Linked DNA regions of Callithrix jacchus. The protein of the gene in region 3 interacts with the protein of the main gene of each other region in a biochemical or structural test. Links are inferred from orthologs where the notes say so. Each region holds a gene or a part of one and is shown on either strand. Other genes may lie near its edges. The genes, in order: BIRC3, OTUD1, RIPK1 and TNFAIP3.

Evidence for each region.
Region 1: of the proteins of RIPK1 (region 3) and BIRC3, one has a biochemical effect on the other in vitro, tested with the Homo sapiens proteins (5 studies listed by BioGRID, with this or other methods). The link is inferred for Callithrix jacchus from reciprocal best matches to the Homo sapiens genes RIPK1 and BIRC3.
Region 2: of the proteins of RIPK1 (region 3) and OTUD1, one has a biochemical effect on the other in vitro, tested with the Homo sapiens proteins (2 studies listed by BioGRID). The link is inferred for Callithrix jacchus from reciprocal best matches to the Homo sapiens genes RIPK1 and OTUD1.
Region 4: of the proteins of RIPK1 (region 3) and TNFAIP3, one has a biochemical effect on the other in vitro, tested with the Homo sapiens proteins (2 studies listed by BioGRID). The link is inferred for Callithrix jacchus from reciprocal best matches to the Homo sapiens genes RIPK1 and TNFAIP3.

What each region holds. Positions count from the first base shown.
Region 1 is NC_133511.1:37,313,245-37,320,920, reverse strand, and holds the start of BIRC3 (baculoviral IAP repeat-containing protein 3), read left to right. Parts: upstream 1-2,639; 5' UTR 2,640-2,696; exon of another isoform or gene 2,697-2,730; intron 2,731-6,730; 5' UTR 6,731-7,676. UniProt on the Homo sapiens protein: Multi-functional protein which regulates not only caspases and apoptosis, but also modulates inflammatory signaling and immunity, mitogenic kinase signaling and cell proliferation, as well as cell invasion and metastasis.
Region 2 is NC_133508.1:23,882,109-23,889,796, reverse strand, and holds OTUD1 (OTU domain-containing protein 1), read right to left. Parts: upstream 4,898-7,688; 5' UTR 4,515-4,897; coding exon 3,072-4,514; 3' UTR 1,847-3,071; downstream 1-1,846. UniProt on the Homo sapiens protein: Deubiquitinating enzyme that specifically hydrolyzes 'Lys-63'-linked polyubiquitin to monoubiquitin.
Region 3 is NC_133505.1:27,532,860-27,539,547, forward strand, and holds part of RIPK1 (receptor-interacting serine/threonine-protein kinase 1), read right to left. Parts: intron 3,849-6,688; coding exon 3,696-3,848; intron 1,645-3,695; coding exon 1,358-1,644; 3' UTR 1-1,357. UniProt on the Homo sapiens protein: Serine-threonine kinase which is a key regulator of TNF-mediated apoptosis, necroptosis and inflammatory pathways.
Region 4 is NC_133505.1:144,647,009-144,654,176, reverse strand, and holds part of TNFAIP3 (tumor necrosis factor alpha-induced protein 3), read right to left. Parts: intron 4,782-7,168; exon of another isoform or gene 4,709-4,781; intron 4,606-4,708; coding exon 4,296-4,605; intron 1,005-4,295; coding exon 814-1,004; intron 161-813; coding exon 13-160; intron 1-12. UniProt on the Homo sapiens protein: Ubiquitin-editing enzyme that contains both ubiquitin ligase and deubiquitinase activities.

The DNA.
Region 1 (7,676 bases), on a different chromosome or scaffold from region 3:
ATTTTTAGGAGAGATGGGATTTCACCATGTTGGCCAGGCTGGTCTCAAACTCCTGACCTCAGATGATTCACCTGCCTTGGCCTCCCAAAGTGCTGGTATTACAGGTGTGAGCTGCTGTGCCTGGCCAAAGAGGAATTTTTTGTTTTGTTTTTTTGACACTTAGAGCTTTATGATCCTAGAGAAAAAAATAGATTTCAATTTATAATGTGTTTATTTCAGATATGTGACAGAGAGATCATAAAAGATGCCCAATATAAACATGTATTAACATTCTGTAGGGGAATTGGAATGTTCAATGACAAAAGGCAATGATAAAATATTTTCAGTTATTAAAGATGGCCTGATATTAATTACTTCATGAATGGTCATGTATTTCAAATGACTATGGTATTAGGATCTATCAAATACATTCAAAAGAGTGCTCTATCAATTTTTTCCCCAAAATATCTATGTTTACATTTTATAGATTCGTGACATGTACAAAAGCTTTTTTTTTAAAATTGTGCTTTAAGTTCTAGGGTACATATGCAGATCTTGCAGGATTGTTGCATAGGTACACTCATGCCATGGTGGTTTGCTGTTTCCATCCCCCTGTCACCTACATCAGGCATTTCTCCCAGTGTTATCCCTCCCCAATCTCCCTGCCTCCATCCCTCCCCTAGCCCCCAACCCCCCAACATACTCCGGTGTGTGATGTTCCCCTCCCTGTGTTCATGTGTTCTCATTGTTCAACACCCACCTATGAGTGAGAACATGCGGTGTTTGGTTTTCTGTTCTTGTGTCAGTTTGCTGAGAATGATGGTTTCCAGATTCATCCATGTCCCTACAAAGGACAGGAACTCATTGTTTTTTATGGCTGCATAGTATTCCATGGTGTATATGTGCCACATTTTCTTTGTCCAGTCTATCATTGATGGGCATTTGGGTTGGTTCCAGGTCTTTGCTATTGTAAACGGTGCCACAATGAACATACATGTGCAGGTGTCTTTATAATAGAATGATTTATAATCCTTTGGATATATACCCAGTAATGGAATTGCTGGGTCAAATGGAATTTCTATTTCTAGATGCTTGAGGAATCGCCACGCTGTCTTCCACAATGGTAAACTAATTTACACTCCCACCAATAGTGTAAAAGTGTTCCTATTTCTCCACATCCTCTCCAGCATCTGTTGTCTCCAGGTTTTTTTAATGATCACCATTCTAACTGGCTTGAGATGGTATCTCAATGTGGTTTTGATTTGCATTTCTTTAATGACCAGTAATGATGAGCATTTTTTCATATATTTGTTGGCCTCATATATGTCTTCTTTTGAGAAGTGTCTGTTCATGTCCTTCAACCACTTTTTTTTTGGAATGGGTTTTTTTGTTGTAAATCTGCAAAAGCTTTATGTTTTAATGTTAAGTTAAAAATGGGCAAGGGAATACAGAGCTTTTCAAAACTCTTCTGGTGAGTACATAATCGAAAAAGTGTAAGGCCCACAAATTATTTGCAATAATCTCAGGAGTGAGTTGAAAATGGCTTAGAAAGTCTTGAATGAAGCAGACTCAAATGTGGATTAAAATCTCCATGTGATAAATATACTTAGTATTCTGAAATAATTACAACTGGAACTTTAGCTGCTGTGGACAGCCAAGTCCACCTAAACCAGAAGATGCCTTGCTCAGTCCAAGTGTGTGCAGAATGCACTGGATGCCATTTCCACAGCATGTTGAAGTCCCAAAAATCCCAAATAATCTCTGCCTCTGGTTAGTAATCGTCTTTGATCTACTGGAAACCAGAAAATCAGATGAACTCACCCAATGCATCTGTTACCCTGGTAGGGACCACTCTCAGATGAAGTTGCTTAAATTTACTTCTTAGAAAACATTGAGGAAAATATGGCAGTGCAGTGTGACTCAAAGATGTCAGGTTTTCCTAAGAATGGCACTGCAACTCAGAAATCTGCCCTGCAAGAGGCTAAAAGGAGGGATTTTTTAAAATAGCATACTCCACCCTTATTAAAAAAAAAAACTCACCAAAACAAAACAAAGTATTTCACTACAGAAAATTAACAATTTCAATCTTTAAACTAGTAAAAAATAAACTGCAATAACTGCTTGATTTTTTTCCACATACCCCTGCATTTGCTTTCAACTGTTACTTTCTTGATCAGAACAAAAAGTAAAAATAAATAGAAAGATTTCACAAAGTTTCGATTTTTTTTAATGCTGGACTTTTGCATCTATGGTAGATTGAAAAACCTAACCTTTTTACGTGTAGTGTCTGGCGGATGGAGGGTGGGAACCAGGGCGCATTGACCTTTTCCAGGCAGTCTGAGCAATGATCGTCCTCTCTATATGGGTTATCAAGATTTTCTCTGACCCAAGAGCAATGAAGCAAATGTCTTTCAGTAAATGCAGCGCAGATATGCCACGGTAAAGAGTCATGTTTTTGGGTCATGGAAATCCCCGAGTGGATTTTCCAGGCCACTGAGTAAGAGGAAGTGTGTGTGTAGTTATTACCGCTGGAGTTCCCCTAATTTCTAAAAGAAAAGCCCATGCAAACCACTCGGGGGGGCGGTGCGGAAAGCCTAGTGCGGCTAGGGGTGGGGATTCGATGACGCATTTAAAAGGCAACGTGAGACTCGTGCCCTCCCGCACAGAGCAGGCCGGGCGACAGATGTCAGTTGAAAAGACTGGGCTCCTCCTTGCTGGTGCGTGCGTCGTCGGCCTCTGGACAGCAGGCGGGTGAGGAAGGAAGGCGAGTGTGAGTGTGAGTGTGTGTATGTGTGTGCGCGCGGGCGCGCAGCACCCTTGCGCCTCCCCAGGTGTAAGAGGTGCGCCGGCGGCTGGCCCAGGGGCGCTCAGGGCTAGAGACCAGGGCGCCGCACAGGTTGAGAATCAGAGGGTGGGGCGCAGTCATCAAACACGGCTCTAAGCCCAAAGTAGGCTCTAGATAGGTTCCAGGTGCTCAATTTCTGTTTTACGTTTGGAGTGAGCCAGTGGAATTGTGAAGCTTTGGCATTTTGATTTGGTTGCCGAGAGTTATCACTGGTTCTTTGCAGGTGCCAAATACATTTCAGGACAGAGCCTAACGCAGAGCTCTGGCACAGGAAGGACTCAGTAAAATGTTGAATGAACAATGGAGGCATGTTTCCAAGCGGTGGTAGGAAGACAGCAGTTTTTGTTTGTCTTCCTGGGGATCAGCATGGAAACCCAGCAGTGCTCTTACTCTGGTCAATACATTGTCGAAGGCATTTACCTGGTGCTAACATAAAATAATATTAAATACTGACTTTATTTGCTGTTATTTATTACTAACATTGAGTACTGCTACCTGCTATATGCTAGTTTTCTCTCTGAAGAGTTTACATGCATTTTTCACATTTATCATGATCGTAAGAAGCAGGTACCATATTTATCTTCATTTGACAATGAGGCAACTGAGACTCTTGGACATTTACTTGCCAAGGTCACACTTCTGGATACTGGACTGCTTGGTATGGGGCACCCCAGATGTCTGATTCCAAAGCCTGATATTAATCGATCATTGAACAGACTCTGTGGTCATTAATGTAAAATTGATAGAAGTGCTGTGGTCACTCAGGGTTCAGTCACATTTGCTAACATTTACTTCTTCAATGGGAAGTCTTAGTGTCTACCTATATGCCAAGCTCTGCAGATGCTGTAAGTGGGAGGGCAGGTACAGAGATGAAACATATTAATAGTTGCCATTCTAAAAGAGCTTACTGTCCAGGGGGAGGCAGAAAGAAAAGGCACACTTGCCCTCCAGTGTCAAAGAAATGAATGTGCCACGTGCCCAGCAGGGTATGGATGCCCAACAACCCTGGGATGGGGGAGGTTGCCCGCTTGGTAGGTTACATGGAAGAGTCAGGAGAGGAGAGGCTGGGGACTGAGCCAATCTGAGAAGGAACCCCTAGCAATGAAAGAGGAATTGCAAGAGCTTGGTGCCAGAGAAACCCAGGGAATGGGACATTTCTAAGAGGAAGTGTGCCCCAGTGTCAGATGTAAAAATTTCCACTGGTTTTGGCTAAGAAGCCATTGGTGTTATCAATACTGAGAGCAGTTTTGAGTGATGCTGATTTGATGAGTAAATGGCAGAGGGAAAATGAAAACATTAACCATACACACATGTTCAATTTGCTTGGTTGTGACGGGAAGGTGCAATACAGGGTAGTTGGTAGAATAGAAAGGGATTGAAAGAGGATTTTAAAAAGTGCTTTTATTTGAAAGTTGAGATAGGTTTAAGCATGAGTGTTACGTGGAAGGAAAAGGGCCAGTCAAGAGTGAGATGAAAGAGAGTTGAAGAAATGAGGGGGATGGGATTAAGAACAAGATTTCTGAGGCAGTAGGAGAGGGTAGGATCCCATAAGAGGCAAATCTTTGAGGCAGCAAGTAGGTTGTGAGCAAAAAAGGCTTAGATATGAGAATGTGAAAGAGTTCCTACTCAGTGATGTCTCTTTTCTTTGAGAAATAGAAGGCAAAGCAATTGACTGAAAATGAAGTGGAGTGTAGTGGAGAAATTTGAGGAAGGTGTTAAAGGTTTAAAAGAGGTGCACGGGGCAGTGTGCTAGGGAGCTGAGTGGGGCTAAAAGGAATTGCTAAAGGTTGGTGAAGGAGTCTGAAGTGATGCTGGTCCCAGTCTGCAGGGTTGCATCTAGGTGTTGGAAATGTTTAGGACAAGTGATCTAGGGTTGACATCTTGGCATATTTTTGTATTGTTATTGTATAGTTGTTTCTTAAATTTCCACAAATATATGCCTTGCTGGAGTGCAGTGGCCTGATCTCAGCTCGCTGCAACCTTTACCTCCCGGGTTCAAGTGATTCTTCTGCCTCAGCTTCCTGAGTAACTGGGACTACGAGTACGTGCCACCACGCCCGGCTATTTTTTTTTTTGTATATTTAGTAGAGATAGGGTTTCACCATGTTGGCAAAGCTGGTCTTGAGCTCCTGATCTCAAGTGATCTGCATGCCTTGACCTCCCAAAGTGCTGAGATTACAGGTGTCAGCCACTGCACCTGACCTAAATCTTCTTTAGGATAAGATTTGTGTAAGGGATTTGCAAACTCAAATGCAGGTGATATAAATGAGAAAACCTCTGAGTGTCTCTTTTTCTTTTTCTTTTCTTTTCTTTTTTTTTTTTTGAGACAGGGTCGTGCTCTGTCACCCAGGCTGTAATGCAATGATGCAGTCTCATACTCACTGTAACCTCCATCTCATGGGCTCAAGCGAACCTCCTGCCTCAGCCTCCCAAGTAGCTGGGACCACAGGCATGCACCACCATGTCTAGCTAATTTTTGAGTTTTTCTGTAGAGATGGAGTTTTGCCAAGTCACCCATTTTGAACAATCAAGCAATTCATCTACCTCAGCCTCCCTAAGTGCTGGGATTACAGGTGTGTGCCATGGCGTGAGGCCTTGTGGGTGTCTCTTTTAATAAACTTTCATATATTTTAAATGAAAGCATACTCTATTTACATATTTGACATGAAGGAATATTCTTCCTTTCTACAAAGACACATGGTTCTCCTATTTTTCTCAAAAGTTTGTCCTTCTTCCTCTACTTTTCATTTTTGTTACTTTTGATAGACACATGTGTTACACTGATTTCACTTTCCTCATAATTCTGTTGTAAGAAAAACAATAGTGCCAGTCCAATGACAAATAGCAACAGTCTGTTATTGCTAGACTGTTACTGTTAGCAGAGACTACCAGAACAGTCTCAGTATCAGGGAGTCAAAGATAACACGTTCCCTCTCTAAAGGGCACAGCTGCTGCTCAGCTCTAGATGATTGCTGCCCTGCAGAACTATAGGCACAGCATTGCTAGATATTTTGATTTTTCAAGAGAAGCTTGGAATCTAGAATGTGATGGGAAGTCTCTTACATTTAAAAATGTTGGCAAATAATGGTAAGATTTAAAAATACTGTGGTCCAAGAAAAAAATGTATTTGGAAACTGTATTAAATTCAAATAAGGCATGCAGATTAATCCACAGCATGGTACAGTGTGCATTTTCTGGTTTCTTTAATTGCACTATGATTATGTAAGGTGTTGGCTTTGGGGAAGCTAAGTGCAGAGTATGCAGAAACTATTATTTTTGTAAGTTTTCTCTATGTATAAATTTCAAAATAAAAACTTAAAAAATTAGTGAAGTACTATAATGCAATTTTATGTAAGCCAAACATGATATGTCTACCAGTTTGAGACCTCTGGTTTTTTGTTTTTGTTTTTTTGAGATGGAGTCTTGCTGTGTCACCCAGGCTGGATGGAGTGCAGTGGTGTGATCTCAGGTCATTGCAACCTCTACCTCCTGGTCTCAAGCGATTCCCCTGCCTTAGCTTTCTGAGTAGCTGGGAATACAGGTGCACGCCACCGCACCCAGCTAATATTTGTATTTTTAGTAGTGATGGGGTTTCACCATGTTGGCCAGGCTGGTCTTGAACTCCTGACTCCTGAACTCCTCAAGTGATCTGCCTGCCTTGGCCTCCCAAAGTGCTGGGATTACAGGCCTGAGCCACTGCACTAAACAGAGACCTCTGTTTTTTTGTTTTGCTTTTAATCTCTTTTTGGCCTTTACAGTGCCCAGTAGAGAACCTGATATATGGTAGACAATCGTAATTACTATTGCTCTACTTTGGAGAAGTTTTTTTTTTAAAAGATCATTGTGCTCCATCTATGAATTGTTTGACTTTTAAAACTGTCTTTTTGTTTGTTTGTTTTTGAACAGGTTTACAAAGGAGGAAAACTGCTTCTTCTAGATTTTTCTTTTCCATTTTCTTCTATAGATCAAAACATCTTAAGATGGAGACCTAAAATCCTAAAAGGGACTTAGTCTAATCTCGGGAGGTAGTTTTGTGCATGGGTAAACAAATTAAGTAGTTAACTGGTGTTTTACTATCCAAAAAATGCTAATTTATAAAGATGATCTAGTTATATAAGGTATAACTATAATGAGCTTGAGTTTGAATTTGATTTGTGGAAGTAAAGCAGAAGTGATTCTAGCTAGGTCATATGGTTAAAGCATTTTTTTTTTTAAAGAGTTGGCCAGGCAGTCTCCTACTAGCGTATTCTCACATTTTGTAGGATAGAAACGGTACCTGTGATTGGGAAAGATTTTAAAATGAGTTATTTAGAAGAAAGAGCTAATATTCAACCCACTGCAAAATTAAAGAAACATGCAAGTGAAAGCTTTGACATGTTACAATACATCTACAGTGACAAAGAAAAATCAAGAACAAAGCTTTTTGATAGATGCAACAAATTTAGAGGAAGTAAAAAGATAAATGTGATGATGGGTGAAGAAATTATCTAGTCATCTACAAGGCCATTGATATTTTAAAAATCCAAAACTTTGTTTAAATGGGCTGTTGTTACTGGGAGTGATGAGGATGAGAATGATGATTGAAGGTTACATTTTCAGAAATGAAGGAGCTTACTCAGAAAATTTATGTAAAGACAGTGATGAATGCAAAGAAGATTTTTATGACAATGTGTAAAGTTTTCAGTCATGGAAAGGAATATTGAAGTTAGGTACAATTACTTACCTTTGAGGGAAATAATCATTGGTAATGAGATGTGATGTCTCTCCTGCCACCTGGAAACAAAGCACTAAAGTCTTTTTTTTTTTGTTTCTGCAGTAGAAAACCCAGTATCTGTGAGATCCAGGAAACCAT
Region 2 (7,688 bases), on a different chromosome or scaffold from region 3:
ATCACCTGAGGAGTTCAAGACCAGCCTGGGCAACACAGGGAAACCACCATCTCTATGAAAAATAAAAAATTAGCTGAGCATGGTAGTACACACCTAGAGTCCCAGCTACTCAGTAGCCAAGGATAACTTGAGCCCAGAGGCAGAAGCTGCAGTGAGCCATGATTGTGCCATTGCACTCCAGCCTGGGGGACAAGACAACACAGTCTCAAAAACATAAACAAAATTTAATAATTAAATTAAATTTAAAAACAGGACTGGGCATGGTGACTTATGCCTGTAATCACAATACTCTGGGAGGCTGAGGCAAGAGGATCACTTAAGCTCAGGAATTTGAGACCAGCCTGGGTAACATAGTGAGACCTCATCTCTACTAAAAATCAAAAAAATTAGCTGGATGTGATGGTGCATGCCTATTGTAGTCCCAGCTACTCAGGAGGCTGCAGTGGGATAATCACTTGAGCCCTGAGGTTGAGGCTGCAGTGAGCCATGACCGTGCCACTGCACTCCAGCCTGGGTGACAGAGGCAGACCCTATTTTAAGAAAAAAAACAAAAAAGAAAAAGAAACAAGGACTTGGAATCCTAATTTGAAAATGACAGAACACACAGGAACCCATCAAAACAGTAATAGGCTTACAGAATGCTTTTAGAAATTTTTGTGTATTCTACTTATTCTTCTATAAATTTTAAGTACCTCCAAATTTAATACAGCTCTAAATAAAGTGGAGAAAAGGAGTAGCCAAGTAATTCAAATAACAGAATTCCTTTCTTTCCAAATTAGTGATACCACAAAGCAAAACTTACCTACACAAAAATCCAGAGATCTGTGATTAGCAAACATTTAAACCTTTGACGAATTCTTTCCTTGATATTCAATGGCATCCTTCCAAACACGTGGTTAACCAATGAACTCAAGTTCAGTTGTGTCTATGACTGTGATATCTAAACGACCAACTGAAAAGTAAAATATCCAAAACAGCTGCTTTTATTCTGCAGTAAACATACCCCAACATTATGCACAGGGGCGCGCCAACTTAGCCCACGCGTGCTGCTGCGACAAAATACCTGTAATTTATAAAGAACAGAAATTTCTCACAGTCTGGAGGCTGGAAGTCCAAGATCAAGGCGCTGGCAGATTCCACATCAGGTAAAGGTCCCTTCCTCACAGATGACACTATCTAGATGTCCTCCTGTGGCAGAACAGCAAAACAGTAAAATGGGCCTAAGCTAGTTTCTTCCAGCCCTTTTTATAAAAGGCACTAATTCATTCACAAAGGCAGAGTGCTCATGACTTGAATCACTTCCCCAAAAGCGCAACCTCTTCCAATCATTTCCCCAAGACCCCAAATTCAACACACTAATTTGAGGTGGCTGAACACACGTATTTAAACGACGCCCTTCTCAACATCTTAAAACAGATTCCCATGGTCTCAAGAGGCCAGACTAGACAAAAATGAGTGCATCTCTTTGGTTACTCTTTTATCCGTTAAAATCTATACTGAGAGTGGAATACAAAAATATGACATTTAATTAGACATGCTGCTGGCTGACACAAAACTTGCACTTCCTTTTTCATTAGCCAATAGGTACAGCTAGAATTGTAAACAGGAATTATAATTAGAAATAATGAGAGCAATTTCTTGGATTACTCCACCTTTAAATTATATTTTATTCAGACTCATCCTTTGAAATTACTCATGATTAGCCTGTCCTCTTCATGTGAGAATTTAGGAAACTTCTCTATTGCTGTGGCATCTTTATGGAAAAAAAGAACTGTGTATATGCACATGTGTAAGAAAGTTTCCTTCAAGAATCAGAATTTAAAAAACACTATCCATGAAAGCACTGTAAAAGTATAATTTTGCATTTTATTCATTCATTCCATCAGCTGGGAATTGCTCTATTGTACAAATACAGTTTTGTACAAAAAAATCACAAAATGTTACAAAATAAAAAAGTACAAACTGCATTACTTAATAAATATGACTAAAAGTAGTTAAAGTGGCAATGAGATAGATTTTAAGTGGGAAACATTGTTTGACCCAGCAAACCACACAAGCTCTGTTTACAGACATTTCTAAGTTAATACAGGGCAATCCTTTTTTGCCTTTTGAAAGAATGTAAAAGAAATACTAAGACAGTGTTCTCCTGCTATAACTGCCAAGGTTGGCTCCAGACATTTATGACATTAGTTTATAAATCTCTTAGCTGGATCCAAGAAGTTATATAAAGCAGGAGGCTTATCTTGTCACAAAATTTTATACCAAGTTAGATTCTCTTATAACAAAGTGACAAATGTAAATAAAACTGAGAGCACCAGACAATTTACACATTAACCAGGGTACAGAATAATCACTCTGTCATCGGCAAATATCAGACTTTCATTCAAGTAAGACCTGGTACTATCCCTTAAAAGAAGAAAAAAAACCTTCCCACAACCTTCTGTTAAGTATTTCTCTTTAAAAGATTCACCATTTCTAGAAAAATAATTATTTCCAACAGAACAGATTTGTTTCATCAAAATGGAATGGGCCAAACACTTGGTAACAAGAATACATCAATATCCATCTGAAATAATTATCTAAGAATTGTGAAAATCAAATTTCAACAACGTAAGAACTACCAAATCACAAACTCTGTTCAAAATAATACATTTCATATAAAGCACTTCTCTGGATTTATGCTTGAAAGCTGTCAAAATGGGACACGTCATAGATGAAGGTACACCAGTTTTTAAAAATGTTGTGCAAAAATACATTTTTATAGAAAATAGACTACCAGGAATGAACAAATTTACACTGTGAGAAAACAGCTTGCAAATTAAGTAGTGCTCACTTTATACAGCAAATTATAAATAGCAGTAAAATCACCCTAAGCTATCATGAAACATCATTTGGGTGCCCAGCAACCTTCAGCTCTGAGAAAACATTCAAAAAGATGATTAAGGCATTACACCTACAGTAAAATCTACTAGGAAGTTTGAAAGTGCTATTACCCTGATTAGAGTTCACGTGATTCTCCAAACACAAGTTATGTATGCAATTTTCCCAGGGTGTTAAGGTTTTGAGACACTTCAAGAGCATGCGTTTTGTTCAATATACATTTTAGACAGGGATATGGCCATAGATTTGGCAAGTTCTTCATCGCGTTTCCTCTGCACTTGAGTTTGTTTGCACCAGTTGTCGTACTCTGGGTTAGGATAGGAGTGATCAAATACAGCATCATAGTGTCCGTTACTGAGCCAACTGAGCCAAATACTGGGCCTCAGGGAATCCTCTGGGCCCAAATAATGAATCATGGTAGACACCGTGGGGCTCTCCAGCCTCCCTCCAGTAGTTAAGTGGATATTCACATTCAGCATCTGCCCCATGGCCAGCAACTCGGGGTACCCAGCCCATGCCCCGTCTTGGGCAGCAGCGATGAGAAACTCCCCTACGTCGCCCTCAATCAGGGGGTTGAAGTGGTCGAGATGGTCGGCGATGTAGTGCACGGTCTGCTCCCTCAGCTCTCGGTGCAGGCTCTGGTCGCCGTACACAGTCTTGCTGACAGCTCGGTACAGGCAGTTGCCGTCGGGAATGATGTGGAATCGATACTTATTTCTCTGCCGCAGGTATTTATCCTGCTTCTCCACCTCGGCCAGGTACAGGGCCAGCTTCTCGTCTCTGGGATCCGACCTGGGGACAACCACCGGCTCCACCGCGCTGCTCGGGGCAGCCTCGCTGCTCCGGCCGGGAGACACCTCGGCCTCCGGGTCGGGCCTCCGAGCCGCGTTCCCGCCAGGCGCGTCGCAGCGGTCGCCGCCCCTCTCCCAGGCCCGGGGGCCCCTCTCCGCCAGGTGCTCCTCGCCCCACGGACCGGGGCCGGCGTCGGGACTCCCCGGGGTGGGCGCGAGGCCTCGATGCTTGGCAGCGGCCAGGGCCTGGCAGTGCTCGCTCAGTCGGAAGTTCCGATCGGGCCCCTCCCGGGCCGCCTCCAAGCCCGTCTCGGGGCAGTCGGGCCGCAGCAGCTCCTCCAGGAGCCAGGCGGAAGAGCCCCGTCGCGGCGGGATGGGGGCTGCGGGCGCCGGGGCCAGCAGGAGGCAGCGGCCGCGCGGGGCGGCCGCAGAGCCCGCGGCGCCGGGAGCGGGCTCGGGCCCGTGCAGCAGGAGCCTGTCGGCGCCCAGGGCCCGCACGGTGATCTGCGCGGTGGAAGTGTAGTGCGGCGGCAGTGGCGGCTTGCAGGACGCGCTGGGCGGGCCGGCGGCTGCGGATCCGGGCGCGGTGGCCCCGGACACCACTTCGAAGCAAGAGGAGAAGGCAGGCATCTTGGCGGCGGGGACAGCGGCGGCTTCCCGGGGCTCTGTGGCCGCGGCGGGCTGGCACTCACCGGTCTCGGGCTCGGCGCCGGCGGTTCCCGGGGGCTGCAGCGAGACCTTGAAGGGGGCGGCGGCGGTGGCTGCAGGCGGCGCGGGGGCTGCGGCCGTGGGACCCGGGGCCCCGGCGGGGTAGTGGGTGCAGACGCTGCTGTAGAGCTGCATGTCCCTGCCCGCCGCTCGGCCCCTTATAGGCGCGGCGAGCCCCCGAGCGGGGGACACACCCTCCGGGCCCGGGGGAGGGGGCCGGCGGAGCGCGGTGACCAAACGGCCCCAGAATAGAGATGAGCGCCCGGTCGCCGGCCGCCGCGCGTCAGCAGCCGCGAATAGCTCCCGGGTCCCGGCCAAATTCCTGCTGCGCCACAGCGTGGGGGGAGGGCGGGGACGGGACGCGCGCTCGACCCCTGCCGGTGCGCTCGGCCTGCAGACCCTGGGCGCCTTGCCCGCTGCAGTTGCTGCGGCGGCCGCAGGGGACTCTCGGAAGAAGCTACCCACCCCGCTAGAGCGCGTCTCGCCGACAAGGAGGAGCGCGGGGCGCGCGGAGGCCCGGGAGGCGGGGCCGCGGTTGTTTACCTCAGGCCTCGCGGCCGCGTCACATGACCCCGCTGGAATGCGCGACTCGTCCGGGCGCCCGATTCAGCAGCACCGACTCGCCCCACCCACTCCGGCCCGCGCCCCGCCTCCTGTCCCGCTCCGCTGTGCCCCGCCGACGTCACGGGCGTAGTCCCCCGCGCGCGCGCGCGCACTCGCGCGCGGGCGGGGCGGAGCCGGGGGCGCTGAGGCTCAGGGGCCTGCGCAGTCTTGAGATTTCTGGCTGGGCCTCCCGCCCACGTGACTCCCGCGGACCGTTTTCCCCACCTGGGGACGGGTTTCTAAGCTGCGCCGCTCTCTGCGGTGGCTGCAGTGGATGCTGCGGGATGGGCGCTGCTTGGGGCGAGCTAGCATGCTTGGAAAGCTTGTGTGGCAGGAAAGCTTCCGGGCTGGGTGTGGAGGACGGAATGCTGCCTTAAAGCCTGTTTGGCCTCCCCATGGTATTGGGCTACCATACCTGCTTGCGTTCACCACTGCTTCTTTTCTTTTTTTCTTTATTTTTTTTAGAGATGAGGGTCCCTTCTGTCGCCCAGGCTGTAGTGCAGTGGCTCAGTCAGAGCCCACTGCACCCTTGACCTCCCGTGGCTCAAGCGATCTTCCAGCCTCAGCCTCCAGAGTAGCTGGAAACCACAGGCGTGCACCACCTCACCCAGCTAATTTTTTTTTTAAGGCGAGGGCCTCACTTCAGTTGCCCAGTCTGGTATGGAACTCCTGGCCTTAAGCTGTTTCCCGCCTCAACCTCCCAAAGTGTTAGGATTGATTACAGGCCCAAGCCACCACGCCTGGCACTACCACATCTTTTACCTTTTTTTTTCTTTTTGAGGCAAGGTCTTGCTTAGCCATCTAGGCTGAATGCAGTGACGCCATCATGCCTCGACCTCCAGGGTCCAAGCGATCCCCCTTCCTCAGCCTTGCCTTGGGTAGGGATTACAGGTGCCCAGCTAGTTTCACCACTGCGTCTTTTGTAGGCGCTTCCTTGGACTCACCTGTTAAGAGTGAGTCCTCTAGTGGATCCTCCTGCCCTGCTAAGACAAAACAAACTTTTCTGCACCTCTGACCTATGCCACCTGGTAAATATCTGACTTAGGCGAAAGCAAGGAAGCCTTTCATAAACAGCCGTTCTCAGAATACCAAAAGCATTATCACTTAGGGCCTTTTGAAAATAGGTACAATTGCTAGCCAGAGGTCAAAAGCAGTGGAGAAAGTCGTGACCTGCATTCTAGGGCAAGACAAACTAAAGAAAATGCTTCTACCGAGTCTTTTTGTAATGCCTGCCTTTGTAAGGGAGAGCCAGAGGTGGTGGGAGACTTTTGCTCTGTTCTGAGCTTTGATCAAATGCTAAATTTAACAGACCCAACACATTAAAATTGAACCTAGAGGTTGTCCTAAGATTTTAGAGATAGGGAACCTGGACCTGTAGGTGATGTAAGCTGTACTCCTGCCCCCACCTTTCCAGTGGAATGTGAATTCCTTGAATTGAGAGACTTGGTCTTGCTCTTTGTATTTCCATCCTCTAACACAGTGCCTGGCACATAATTAGACTTAATTCATATCTACTAAGTGAATGAGTAGATGGAAAGCCAGTTCTAAAGATGTCTCAGACAGTGGCAAAGCCAAGATTTCTATCCAGGTCCCTTGACGCTAGCCAGGCCTTTTACTTATCTTTGGGCAGTATGACTGGCAGGATCCCGGCTCAGGTCACTTCAGCTGTTTAGGTAAATTAACTCAGAAGAAGGTAAATGACTGTCTTAACTTCTGAAATTCTGGTAACTACCCCATTGGGAGCTTGAAGCTCTCGTGGCTAATTAGAAAAAGGAAATTACTATACTTGGATTTCATCACTGATTTGCTGGGCATCTATTGCTCTGCGCATGAAGCACTTCACACTGAACTCTTTCAGTAGCTGGTGTTCTGAAACAGAAGACGAGACTGTTAACAAGGCCATCCTCAAATAGTATTTACCATACCCACTGTGCGCCTAGCAGGGCTAGCATAACTGGAGCCTGAAGGGAGATAGGAAAATATTAGAATTTAAATCCTAAAGCAAGAACAGGTTTCAACAGGTTGGGGTAAATGCAGGAAAAAAACAAAAACAACAAACACAAGGTCAACGAAAGACACACTACCTGTGATGTACCCAGTTAGCAAAGGACAAAAGCAAAGAGATGAAGATTCAAAACAAACATAGGAAGGCATTTAAAAAAATCTTTTTAGTTTGTCTGGGGCAGTGGACTATGCAAGACTGCATACTGGCGGTAGGAATCCGTGTTCACTCTGTATCTCAATGTGGAAAGGCTTCCTGGAGGAGGTGATCCTATAGGAAACCTTCTAAAGCAGACATGATGTCAACTTTGAAACTGCCCTTGGAAGCTAAGAGAAGACAAAGCCTTGCAGGTGATAGCAAAGAGATTAAGGAGGCAAATCTGATTTCTCATGAGTTCACATAATTATCTATAATGTAATTATGTAATTAAAATTAATATGCATGAAAAATCATTACATGATCAGAACGATTGAAGAGTATAAGTTTTAAGGAGGTGAGTTGTTGTTATTCGCATGGTTTATGTTTTCCCTTGCTCAACTGTAAGCTCCTCAGAAGGATCCCAAAACCTAGCACAGAATTACTAGTAAAGTTTTTGCTATGCACTCTACATTAAAACATGGGAAGACTATAAATGAGATTTTTAAGAAAACACTGTGCAAGGAAGCTGAATTCTATGTCTGTAGATAAACATTAAATACATCCAA
Region 3 (6,688 bases):
ACGCAGGAGTAAACCGAGGAAGCCACTCAGCAGTATCAGCCCTGAGGTTCTGGTCTCATCCAGGGGTGGAGATCAACATTCCCTGTTCCCTCTCCAGGGCACCCAAGCTGAGTGAAAGTACCAGAATGCCAGGAAAGAACTTTAAAAGTCAATCAAGAATTTTTGCTGTTGTCACAATTGGTAGCAATTCCTTGCAATAACTGCCTGGGAAATTCTGATGTTTCCCTCCCCACGATTTTTCCCCCTCCTTAGTACCTCTTTAAATCTGTTCAGTTAATTTAAAAATTAATTGACTATAAATTCAATTAATTTAAAAAATAATTGATAATTTAATGGATTGAAGACTGCATGTGATTCTTAGAGCCTCTAGTGACTGATACAGTATTTGATACTGTATCAGACCCTGTAATTAACAGACCCTGTAATTTACAGACCCTGTAATTTGGCAGTGAGCTGCAGTTGTGATACAAACAAATCTCTTTGAGCAGGGCTTAGAGTTTCACTCCACTTTGGTTATAACAAGAACCTCTGTGAAGACCACAGCACAAAATTTTAAAAGCTGATTTTATGTTCTCTGAGTTTTTCTTCTTGTCTCAACAAAACTCTAAGACAGCATATGCTGAAAGAAAAGAATCTTCCTCAGACATCTCTTCCCTTCCTTTCCAAACCCGATTAGGAGTCATATTTTGATTGGTGCCATGCCATTAAGAGGTCTTCCTGCTTCACTTTCCTCACAGCGGATTGTTGGCCAGGCGCAATGGCTCATGGCACTTTGGGAGGCCGACGTGGGAGGATCACTTGAGTCCAAGAGTTTGGGACCAGTCTGGGCAACAGAGTGAGACCATTTTGCTGCAGATTTCTTTCCCCATTCTCCAGCTATGAAATATAGGAAACAATATTTCTGTGGATACAGAACTCCTATCAGTGAGGACAATTCTGAATGCTCTGAGGCAGCCAACTTAGGTACTGAAGACAAAGACAAAAGGTTCTATTTGAAAGAAGGGGTCAGGGGGCTCTTTGCTTCTAGTGAACCAAAGCCCTGAGCTTTTACAGCCCTTCGTATTTAAGTGAATAGGGAGGAGGCGGTGAACTTGATTTATTACAGGTACTGCTTCCTTTGTTCAACAGGTTACAGATACTTAGGTAGAGCACAGATAGCCTCAAGGAGCACAGGACCTGGGGCGCAACTGCCCTCAACTTTCTGTCTGGCAGCTGACATCCTGGTTTCATGAGGACAGTTTGCTGTTTACTAATATAGCCTCCAGAGGTATACTGAGTTGGTCACGCCTCACATCCTTGGGGTCTCCAGCAATTCACTAAGTGAGGAGTCGCTTGAGCTGCCATAGCCCATCCAGGGTTAGTTCTGGCTGATGTAGACCAAGTGGTTCAGAAGGTCAATCCTGGAACACTGGTGGAGTGCCTGGGCCAGCTTCCCCACTGTGGCCCCCTTAATGCCTTCCCTCATCAGCCACTTTTGAAGCATCTGGTAAACCTTTTCTTTTAGTCCATCTCGCTCATAGTCATGGTCAATTTCATCAATCTGAGATTGTGTGAAGCCCAGTTTACGGGCACAGTTTTTCCATTGCTTTCCCAGATTTTCCCTGATTGGGTCCAGGTGTTTATCAGTCAGACTAGTGGTATTATCTGCCAAATGGGAAAGAGAAGAAGGTATCAAGCTAAATAAAACCCATTCAAACATTCCAGCTTCCTGAATTGCTAAAAAAAACCCCAAGTGAGGTGAAGAGTAGCAGGAGACAGTGAAAAAGATAACGTCTTAATTATATAGCTGTTGACACCTTGGTGGACATTTTATATCCCTGCTAGCCCACATGGAGTCTTTGTGTGACTTAGAATAGGGCATTCCTGTCCTGGCGTAGTGGGTCATGTCTATAATCCCAACACTTTGGGAGGCTAAGGAAGGAGGATCACTTGAACCCAGGAGTTCTAGACCAGCTTTGGCAACATAGCAAGACCCTGTCTCTACAAAAAAAAAAAATTAACTGGGCATGGTGGCACATGCCTGTAGTCTCAGTTAGGAGGCTGAGACAGGAGGATCACTTGAGCCCAGGTGTTCAAGGCTGCAGTGAGCCATGACTGTGTCACTGTACTCCAGCCTGGGCCACAGAGCAGGATGCTGTCTCAAAAGCAAAACAAAAGAATAAGGCATTCCTTCCTCCTAGCAGACACATCTCTGAGCCACAGCTGATGGCTCTGTGAACAAAACCCCTATGTGGCTACAAGGCTGGGTGTTCTATTCAATCTTAGCCGGTGACCCTGTTTGTGTTAGACTTTCCTGGATGTAAAGGAAAAACCCACCATTTTTGTTCCTTTTGGACATTTTTCACTTACATCTGGCCAGAGTTAAAGCCACTTACCTCCTGACCATCACCCCTGCCCAACAGTTCACTTTCCTCTTAATCAAGGAAACTGTCCAGCAGGTGTGAACCCATTCAGTTACAATGCCTTCCTTGTCTTTCACACGATGAAAGGTCTGTTTTTGAACCCTTCTCCCTGCCCCCCACCCCCCGACTGCCATTGCCTCTTCTCCGATAGCCATAACCTCTCTCCTACTAGTTCTTCTCTTAGCCCTTCATAAAAATAATAAAAGGAAACAAATAAAAATGTAAAACAACCACAACAAACATATTCCCTAATCCCCACTCTACCTCAATAAACAGAATGTAAGGGAGAAAACATCTCATTCTTCCTTTCAACCTCCTTTCTTTCCTCAGCCCTCCATAATGTGGCCTGTGTTGCCACCGCTAGATTGTCAGCAGTCCAAAAACTTCCCAAAATATTTGGCAAATTTTGTCAGTATTTCTTTATGGGACAGATCCTAGGTTTCATTACAATCTCAAGGGTGTCCTTGGCTAATCAAAAGTTAAGAACCTCTGTTCTAGGTATTTTAAAAGCTGTTCTTCAAATGTGTTAGACCAGGGGTTGGCCAACTATAGCCTGTGGGCCAAATCTGGCTCCTTGCCACCATTTGTAAATAAAGTTTTATTGGGACACAGCAATGTTCATTCATGTACGTATTGTCTATGGTTGCTTTTGTACTACGGTAACAGAGTTGAGTAGTTCCAAGAGAGACCTCAAAGCCAGCAATGCCTAACATTTACTATCGGTTCCTTTACAGGAACAAAAAGACAATCCTGTTGTTAATTAGAAAGCTGAGTTCTTAATCAAGTTGTTTTGGCCTCATGACTGCTTTTTCCAGACTGTACCTCGAGATTAGCATTATGGTCCTGCACAGTAGGACCCTGTAAGAGACAGCCCTCTTGATTTTATTGCAGAAGTGCTGTGGAGGGCACAGTCTTCTCTCTTTTACAGGATCTCCTTTGATGAGGGCCTGACACAGCTATTTCTTCCAGGTCTGAGCAGTAATACTGATGATAATGATGAAAGTTTAACACTTTTTATAGACCCTACTATGTGTCAGGGAGCGTTCTAAGCTTTCATACATATCAACTCATTTAATTTTCACAACAAAGCCATGAATTAAATACTGTTATTATCTCCATATTAAAAATAAATAAATCACAAAGAAATTACACAGAAATCACAAAGTTATTTTGCAGAAGTAACATGAGAAAACTTTCAGGAAGAATTATCAGAGAAATTTCAAGATTCCACTACATCCTTCTCACAAGAAAGTTCAAGGTTGATAGACATTGGGTCCTTCAAGGGTATCTTACCAAAGATATCTTGGTACTTAGAAGCTGGCTCTTCTTTAAAGTTCATATTTATGCTGTCTGATAGTGATGAACTCATCCCACCAACCTCCATATAATTGTAGGCTCCAATCTGAACACCGCTACTGTTGTGTATGGTACATTTTATAGATTCCTCTGAATAGAGAGAAACACACAGGTAAGTACTTCTAGATCAAAAGCAAGAGAAAAAATATAGCACTGCAAAAAAGCCTGGCTTTACTCCAAACATTGGGTTAACTATCCTATGCCATCCTTTAAACTTTCTTCTTTAAAATGTGACTAAACCACCTCGTACCCATTAGGATGTCTACAATTCAAAAAAAAAAAAAAAAAAGGGCCGGGCACGGTGGCTCAAGCCTGTAATCCCAGCACTTTGGGAGGCCAAGGTGGGTGGATCACGAGGTCAAGAGATCGAGACCATCCTGGTCAGCATGGTGGCGCGTGCCTGTAATCCCAGCTACTCAGGAGGCTGAGGCAGGAGAACTGCCTGAACCCGGGAGGCGGAGGTTGCGGTGAGCCGAGATTGCGCCATTGCACTCCAGCCTGGGTAACAAGAGTGAAATTCCGTCTCAAAAAAAAAAAAAAAAAAAAAAAAGAATTAACACACATAGACAAAGACGTGGAAGAATGGAGCCCTCACACACTGCTGGTGGGGATGTAAAATGGTGCAGGCCCTGCTATAAAGAGTATCATTGGCCAGGTGCGGTAGCTCACGCCTGTAATCCCAGAACTTTGGGAGGCCAAGGCAGGTGGATCACTTGAGGTCAGGAGTTTGAGACCAGCCTGGCCAACATGGTGAAACGCTGTCTCTAAAAAAAATTCGTCGGGCATGGTGGCGGGAGCCTGTAATCCCAGCTACTTGGGAGGCTGAGTCAGGAGAATCACTTGAACCCAGGAGGCGGAGGTTGCAATGAGCTGAGATCGTGCCACTGCACTCCAGCCTGGGAGACAGAGCAAGATACCATCTGAAGCAGAAGAAAAAGAGTATTGTGGTTCTTCAAAAAAATTAAAGACAGAAGGACCTCCCCACGTGGTTGTCAGAGGCTGGGAGGGGAACTGAGGAGTTGGTGTTTAATGGATTGAGTTTTAGTTTTGCAACATTAAAACAGTTATGTAGATGGATGGCGGTGATGGTTGCATAACAATGTGAATGTAAGTAATGCCACTGTAAAAATGGTTAAAATGGTCAATTTTATGTTTTTGAATTTTACCATTAAAAAAATGTGGCTAACACCGTCAGAAAACAGAGGTGGAAGACAGCACAGCAAAGCTCAGCCACACTTACAGGATCCCACGACTCTCAACAATATCTGTGAAGGGTCCTCCTCCTCTACCTGATGAACTCATACCTCTCAGGTTCCGTCTTCAGAGCTAGCCACAGCTCTGCTCTGCCCTTTCTCTCTGATCTTCCTTTCACTGTCTCCTGTCTCCCTCCACACCAGACTCCAGTCCCACCAGATTTCCCACTCATCTGCTGACATGATGCTCCTGCCTCTGCCTGGACTGTTGACCTCCCCACATGTTTCTCCCTACTTGTGAGTTTCTGACACAGGCCCAGCACAGATTCTACCTCCTTCCATGAGCCTTCACTATAATCCTAGACTCAGGACACTGCCCTGGGCCGCTCTGCATCCGAGCTAGGTCTGTTTGACTTCTCCACTAGCATGTGAGTCCTGAAAGGTAGCAACCATATCCACTTTTTGTTGTATACCTTATGCTCGCTAGCCTGAGGCATGGGCTCAATGACATTCATGCTGAGCTGAATTTGTCAAGTGTCAGACAGCTCGTTAGGTACTGTCTCTAACGAACACTTAGCATATCTTTGTAGGAGAGAGAAGGTGGTGGAGAAGACAGTTCTGAGGAGGGAGGGAAATGAAATTCAGCTCTAGGTACCTCTGTCAACACACCTGGCCCTAAGGTAGGCTGCCCTCTGGACCAGATGCCATGCTCATTTATTGCATTTTCTCTGAGGAAGCCAAGGAAACTAGGGACCCTCTCTACTGAAAGGTGTAAGAAATGTAGCATATGCACACACATGGCATCTGTGTGCAATTCTAGGTGTTCGTGAAGCTGCTGAAACTGGGGTCCTTGGAATCCTAGCAAGGAGCCCCTGTGACCATCTCTGAGGTGCCTTCCAGCACTCAAGGCTAAGTGTTCGTTGTTAACAATGATAATAACAGTGCTAATTACAGCAGCTACCATTTACTGAGCACTTATTCTGTGCATTGTCAGGCACAGTGCCAAGTACCCTGTTTCATCTTCCTAGCCCACCACCTCCAACTTATACTGACACCGTGTTTGTCCCTCACGGTCTGCGCTCACCACAGACATGCATGGAGGTTTATCCTGCACCCCTCTACTTGGAAACTTGTGTTTCTGAGTCAGTGCTTTCTGCCCAAATCCGGCCACTGGAAAAATCATGAAAGTTATGAAATGGATAAACTAATTCAATATTAGAAACATACTAGAGCTTACTATATATAAATTTTCAGTTGTAACAGTTTCATTTATAATTGAGAAGAATGAACTCTGGAGAGGCAAACGACTTTCCCAAAGTCACCCAGGTAGTGACTGGCACAAGCAGGGCTAGAGTTGGGTTTCCTGACTCTTAGCCCAGTGAGCTTTCCTTCTCTGATCTCACTCTTAGCAGCACAGTGAATAAAAAGGAATGGATCTAGGAGCTCTTTCACTGAAAGTAAGACATTTATTTTCCTTTTGTATTTACTGTATACACATACCTTCCTTCTATGGGATGGCGAATTAGAAAACCCACATTTGGTACAGAGTTAGGACTTTTTTTTTTTTTTTTTGAGATGGAGTTTCACTCTTGTCACCCAGGCTGAAGTGCAGTAGCGTGATCTCAGCTCGCTGCAACCTCCACCTCCTGGGTTCAAGTGATTCTCCTGCCTCAGCCTCCCTAGTAGCTGGGATTACAGGTGCGTGGCACCACACCCAGCTAATTTTCATATTTTTGG
Region 4 (7,168 bases), about 120 Mb from region 3:
CAGGCATCTCACCTGAAATGACAATGATTGGCCTTCTGAGGATGTTGCAAAGGACAAATATGTGTATTTCTTCCAGTGAGTTGTACTGAAGCCCACTTCGGGCCACGGGTGTGTCTGTGGAAGCCATTTTGATAAGGGTGTCCCATTCATCATTCCAGTTCTAAGGGGAGGAGGTGAAAGAGGACAAAAAGCTTGAATGTACCCTGTACTCCTATGCTAAAGTCATTCTAACATCACTCCGCAATTATTCACTTATATAACTCAGCTTATTTTTCCCCTTTCATGAAACCATCATTCAAATGATCATCCTTTTTGCCCCATTTTGGTTTTCTTTCTTTACTCTTTTCTACTACAAGGCAAACTCAAAAGTTGGGGAGGACAGGGACAGCACCTGCTTACAAAAAAAAATCCCTGATGAGGTATCACATTGCAGCCCCTCATCCAAATGTTCACAAAAATTCCAAACTTGTGACTGAGGATGGTGAGGCATGTGTTGTAATGTTATTGGCTGGCTCAGCAAAGCTAAGGGCAATCAAACTGAAAAACAACAAAACACCAATGGAAAAGGCCATGAGCAGAAGACCTGCTGCTAGAGGGAACAGATCCACAGCTGGGAATCTGCTAACCAAAAGCAGTGGCAAAAGCCTTGGGTTAGTCCCATAGGTTTCTGGTGTTTTCCATTGAGTATGCTTCACTTAGGCAAATTCATATGACCTGGGCCATTAGATGCTACCAGAGGGCAGGGACTCACCCAGGGGTACCCTATGCCCACCATGGAGTTCTGTCAATAGATAATTAGGGGGCAATACATACCCGAGTGTCATAGCAAAGCCCCGTTTCCACAAATTCCTGAGATTTGAGAGACTCCAGTTGCCAGCGGAATTTAAAGTTGCGTGTGTCTGTTTCCTTGAGCGTGCTGAACAGCGCCTTCCTCAGTACCAAGTCTGTGTCCTGAACACCCCACATGTACTGAGAAGTGGCATGCATGAGGCAATTGCCATCACCTGAGGACAGAAAGGAGGAGAAGAGAAGGAAAATCAAGTTATCTGCATTTAAGGTCCAGCAAAGGTTTTCAGAATAAACCAGCCCTGCTACTGTGCTAGGTCATTGAGTGGTTTAATTTCCTAGTCAAGTACAAATTGGTATTTCACAAGATAATGACAGCTTTAAGGAAAAAACAGTTCTTTTCATTTTTCTTTTTAATGAATGACACCAACAGCAAAGGAGCCAGGGGACCTTGGTTCTAGCTTAACTCTGCTCCTAACTCATTTAGGTGACCTGGGGGAAATTCCTTAGGTTCTCTGGGCATTTTTCCTCTTTGTGAAATGAGGGCACTGAGTGATGATCTCTAAAGCCCCATCCCTTTCTACTATCCCCTGATTTGCTGGTGAAGGCACTGGCATTGCTGCTCTCTAATCCTAAGGAAGATCACACAGAGCAACATGCACAAACCAGGAAGCGGGCATGGCTTGCTAGACTGGGATGGTATGGCTATGACTCAATGGCAAATGACTTGACCATTCCCCTTTAGCCTTTGGGCCCTGGGAGTTTCCTCTCCTGGTGTGTAAAGTGAGGTTGGCAACACTGAATTACCTATGGCCTGCCAGTCCAGCTCTCAAAAACGCGTTATGCAAACCTGCTTGTTAGTAACTGTAAAGTACAAAAGTTAAAAAGCACCTGGGTGTCTACATTTGAAAATAATTCAGTATTTAGGGCTGACATTTTGAGAAAGAAAAAAAGCAGGTTGAATTGTATGCCATTCATTTGTGACCCTTCCAGTTTAAAACTCACAATTCAATGGGCTGCATTTTTTTCAACCTCCAAACAATAAATCTTTTGGGGAAACGTTTAAAACAAAAAAGTTAACTCCTTGGTATCTTTTGGCAAATACAAAATAATCTTTATAAAGAAAAGTTAAACTGTTTCTCATATTACTCTATAAGTAGGGCAATAATGCTATTTGAAATGTTATCAAATTATAATTACAGTCAAACTATAAAGAGACCAATAAAACCCTCAAATATGTATCCACAGCCAGTATTCCTTCAAGTTACACATTTAGAAAAACTAGCTAAGTAAGTATTCAAACAAATGGACAAAAAAGATCGCCCAAGCCTTGTGCCTTGGCAGACGTGTAGCAATGATTGCATTCTGTTGAAATTTCCCCTTTGCAAAATCTAGAGCAAAGATAAGGCTTTTTTTCTTCTTCTTGTGCTTACTTTCAGTTCTTTATTGAGATGCACCAGTATAAAATTCCCTAAGTAACATCTGGAATTCCCCAGTGCTAAGTTATTTGACTAGCAATTGAGCAACAGCTATTGTACTTTTTGTTCTGGTGTGTAGACATTTAAACTGCGAGGTGCACCCTGGACTTTCCAAGTGGGTGTGGTCAGGGTGAGCTGGAATAGGGCTACTCATTATACAAGTGAAATCGCTGCAGCCAATAGACGCTGGAATTTTTCACATGAAGTTTCAATTTTATGCCACCTACTCCCTTCCTCATTCACCACAGTCTCATATCCTCAAATGCAAACTTGTGAATCACCCCCTCCCCAGATATTGCCTTTGAATAACCCTCCTATCAACGGAAAGATTATTATTATTTTTTTAAAAGGTGCTAATCAAAATCAAAGAAAAAAAAGTCATTTGTATTCCTCCCTCCCGATATCCTTTCTTCCACATTTAGACTCTTAAGGAGTTTTCTAGAAAGTGAAGAAACAAAAGGATTCTGAGTCTAAAAATGATTTCCCAAAAAACGTTACCAAAATGCACCTGGCTTTTGTAGTTTTATTTGTAGTGTGACTCCTTGTTGATTTCAATGACATGTTTGCAAAATAAGTGTTTCCTATTTATAGTCCCTTTTTTTTTCCTAGTGGAAATCGAGCATTTCCTATCTTAAGGAAACAAGGCAAAAAGTCAGTTAATTTTCTTAATAAGGTTTCCCCCTTCCTACCACATTTTTAATTCAGCAGAATCTTTCTTTCCAACTCCCCCAAAGTTTACTCTATCTCTTTTTAGTAACAAAATGGGAGAGGATTAAAACCACAAATTGTCAGGCACATAAACCCCATGATGACTTTACATAATTACCTACCTCTATGTATCACTTAATTTAATGCCAAGAATAATGCAGACAGTAGCTATCCCTAGTTTTCTTTCTACCTATGTTTCTAAGAATCAGTGTTTCATAAATCTAGGCAAGCTGTTGAAGCAATGTACAAGACCCCCCAGAATCAAAATTTAAAAACCCACATCCACCAATCACTCTAAGTTACCCAAGTCAAAAAAAGCCAAAGTTAATGTACCAATTAAGTTAATTAAGTCAGTGTTCTTATCGTAATCATTGTCAACAATGATTTTCTGCTCTTGGACATCTTACTTTTATTAGGATGGTTTGGGACTGTCACAGATTTAAGTATCTGAGATTCCTGGTCTTATGTAGTCTATGAGCATTTAATTGATCTTGTACAGTCCACTTGCTTATTGTAATAATTATCCACATCCATAGAGTAGAATTTTGTGCCTGCATGAAACTGTATGCAACAGACACTCCTGTTGATGCACAGATTCTTATCCAAGGGAAATGATTAAAAAATAAAGCAGTAAAGCTTGGAATAGGAAATAGCTACTCCTGGTAAAGGCCATTGGCAGAACAGCACAGGCAGGAAGGATTTCAGTGACTAGGAACCTCTAAAAATAATGAAGGTGAAGTCTAAAACTCATGCTAAAAATCTCAGCATCGATCTATTTCACACTGCAGGGCATAGGCAGTAGAACCAGGTCAGAGAGGAGGAGGAGACAAAAGAAATTCCTCATGTCTTCAACAGCCATTCACTGGTTAACCCATAAAATGCTACCAATTCGAGAGGCATAAGAACATCACACGCATTTTCTAATGACAGTGGGAAACAAACGTACTACCAGTTTTCACACCATGCTTTTCTTTTGAACTTAAGGCTATTAACATTTCCATTACGAGCCAGTGAAGGGTATTTTACAGATGATTAAACATTTGCAAGCATTAGAAACAAATCACCTAATTGGAGTATTAAAAACGCATTCTCCAAGCCTCAATGTGCTCTGCAATATACACAATCAGAAAATATCCTTAATAAATAGATTCACAAAACAAGTCAGCTCTTATCACATGTCCCGTATAGAGTTTCTACACTAAAGTGTCTACTAAATCTCAAGAGATTTGAGTTTGGGCTTGTGCTATTAAAGCTCCATGAATGGGGACCCAGCAAGCAGAAGCTATCACCCAGGCAAAAGAAGCACAACAGAGCAAGTCTTACCATTCGTTTTCAGCGCTACAAGCTTCCTGACTTCCCGACACCAGTTGAGTTTCTTCTGGCTTTCCAGGGAAGCCTGGATGTTTCTGTCGATGAGGGCTTTGTGGATGATCTCCCGAAATTGAGGACAAAACTGGCAAGTTCTGAACATTTCCAGTGTGTATCGGTGCATGGTTTTAAAATGATGAATGATCCCATTCGTAGGTTTAAAAATATCTTCTGGAGTTCTCTCCCGTATCTTCACAGCTTTCCGCATGTTGCTCAAATACAAAGCCTGAGGAAGGACTTGTTCGGCCATTGTGCTCTCCAGCACCTGAAAAGGAAAGAAAAAAAAACAGCCATTCCATTAGCCTGACTTTGATATGACTCCTATATACCTGTCTGCAGGAAACCCCAGTGTTTGATCTTGTCATTACCCTGATCTGTAGGCAAAAGATCTTAGCACCTCTACTCCCGGGATACTAGCTGGCCCAGAGATTAACTCACACTGGGCTGTTTTAAGTTACATCACTTTAAAAGATTAGTCTAAATAAGGGACGGAAGGCAGAGAGTGGGTACTGAGGAGGAGGGGAATAACCTGTGTTTTCAGTAACGTTTGTCAGGGAGCCAACCCTGTCTGTCAGCAACAGGTACTGCTCCTCAAAATCAACTGAAGCTCCTGTTTCATTCTGAGACCACGCTGAACAGCGCTGGATTTGGGGAGTACCGGATGCCAGTTAAGGGCTCAATGTAGCCCCGACAAGTCTATAGCTCCTTCCCTTCAGACCACCACCAAGCAATCCTGCCCTTGGGCAAACTCTTGAGTAATCACTCCCTCCCTATGCTGGTAAACTATTTTATGAAAAATCTTGCAATTTTATGCTGTCATTTAGGCTCCTGGTTGGTGTTTCCTCTTTAGCCCCAAAGAGAAGTATTTCAGTGTTTATTCATAAAGTTTATTCTGATGTTTATAAAGAGTTAAAGCGGAATGTTTTCTAATCAACAACAAAAAAACCACTTCCAGCAAGATGCACTGCAATTTTAAGAGCAGTCAACATTCCTTCAGAACCTTCCCACCAGACTTCATATCAGAATAAGAAACAGACTAATAATAGGCTGGGCACGGTGGCTCATGCCTATAACCTGGCACTTTGGGAGGTCGAGGTGGGAGGATCACTTGGGCTCAGGAGTTTGAGAATAGACTGGGCAACATATTGAGACCTAGGTCTCTACAAAAACAAAAAATGAAAAACCACAAAATAATAACAGAACAATAAATTCTGTACTTCCAAGAACAGATATTGAAGCTCAATCATTTCAACTCAACTGCCAATAAAATTCTGTCATCACCTTCCAGGTCCTAACACAGATGCATGTCTGCCCAGTTTTTCACCCTGAAATCTTTAAGCATAAGCAACTAGCAGAAGGAATGAAAGTCTAGAAGCAGACAAGGAAGGAAGTTTCCACCAGGAGGCCACTCCAGCAAATGAAGGAGGAAAGGGGCAAAGACCAGCATCTACAACCCATGCCAACAGCTCAGAATGATGTGAATTAACATAATGTGGGATTTCTCCAGTACGGAACCGCGTGGAGAGCCAGCTCTGGTTCGCTAGCCCTTTGTAGGGTGCCTGGCCACACTTCCTAATTTCCAAGACGATGAAGATGTTTTCAGAGCACAAAGACATTCTCTAGGAAATTTCACAGAGATTATTAATTCCACTCCTGCAGCAACCTATTTGTCAGGGCAACTCTCCAGTTGATAAAATGTTAAACCTATGGAAGAGGGAGGAGAAGAAACCTAGATTTTAGGGTAGCTACTCCTGGGTGGGTCTAGGCTCTCTTAACACCATTGATAAGGTGGTCTAAATTCTTGTGGCCCACTCAAAGGAGAGAGGTTGGACTTAGATGACCCATGGTTTCTCCTGAGGAGTTTTCTGGTGATAGTTTTAGATTGGGATTCTTAATCTGATTGCTGGGAAAGGCATAGGGGGAGTCATTCTCCAGATCAGATGGTGTTTTCCTTTGATATCAGCCATCCACTACAGGTGAAATTGGGCAAAATCATAGCAGAACAAAAAATAACACATATACCTTTCCTTTGTGGCACAGCAAAAGTCTCTTTCACAATATTGTCCATCCATCAGTCTGTCCATCCATTCCCCCCACCCACCCACCCATGCACCCATCCACCCATCCACCCAACAAGCCCTACCTGACCACCTAATGAAGGCCAACACCATCCTTGATGAGGGACTAAAAGTCAAAGATGGCCTTATTTCCTTGAAACCACACTACCACCTTAGTGTGCAGCTAAGGCAATGGAGTTACAGGTACTGCTTAGATCCCACAGCCATTCAAGGGCAAAGTTTAGCCTAGCAGCCAGGTCTTTCAACATCTGCCCCTTGCAATCCCACAACACCAAAGCTGCGGCTACAGTGCCTGCCACAATCAGATGGAAAGAGATGGGCAGGAGAAAGATTTTAAACAAAAGAGGTGCTATCTCTTTTTGCTTGTCTGACTCTTATTTTTCTCTTCCAAATCTAAAGATTTTTCACCAAAGATCTAAAATAGTGAGGGCTGTAAACCATAGGCAAGATATGCAAATGTCAATACTGGACACCCCAGTGAGCTCGCATTGGTAGGTTTAGCCTTGCACAGCCTGTAAAGTTGAAATCAAATCCTTAGAAATCAAAACCCACTGCCCAAGTTTCCAGTTCTTGGACTTCTCCACACTTAAGATTAAAGAACAAATGTTTCAGATACATTTTAAAGTGTCAAACAATGCAATATTACCCTTAACTTTTTTTTTTTTTAACATTTGTTACTTCGCTGTCTTATTTAAAGGTAATTTCTCAACTTCTGTCACTAGGATCAATGGGATTCTAAAGAAATTCTCC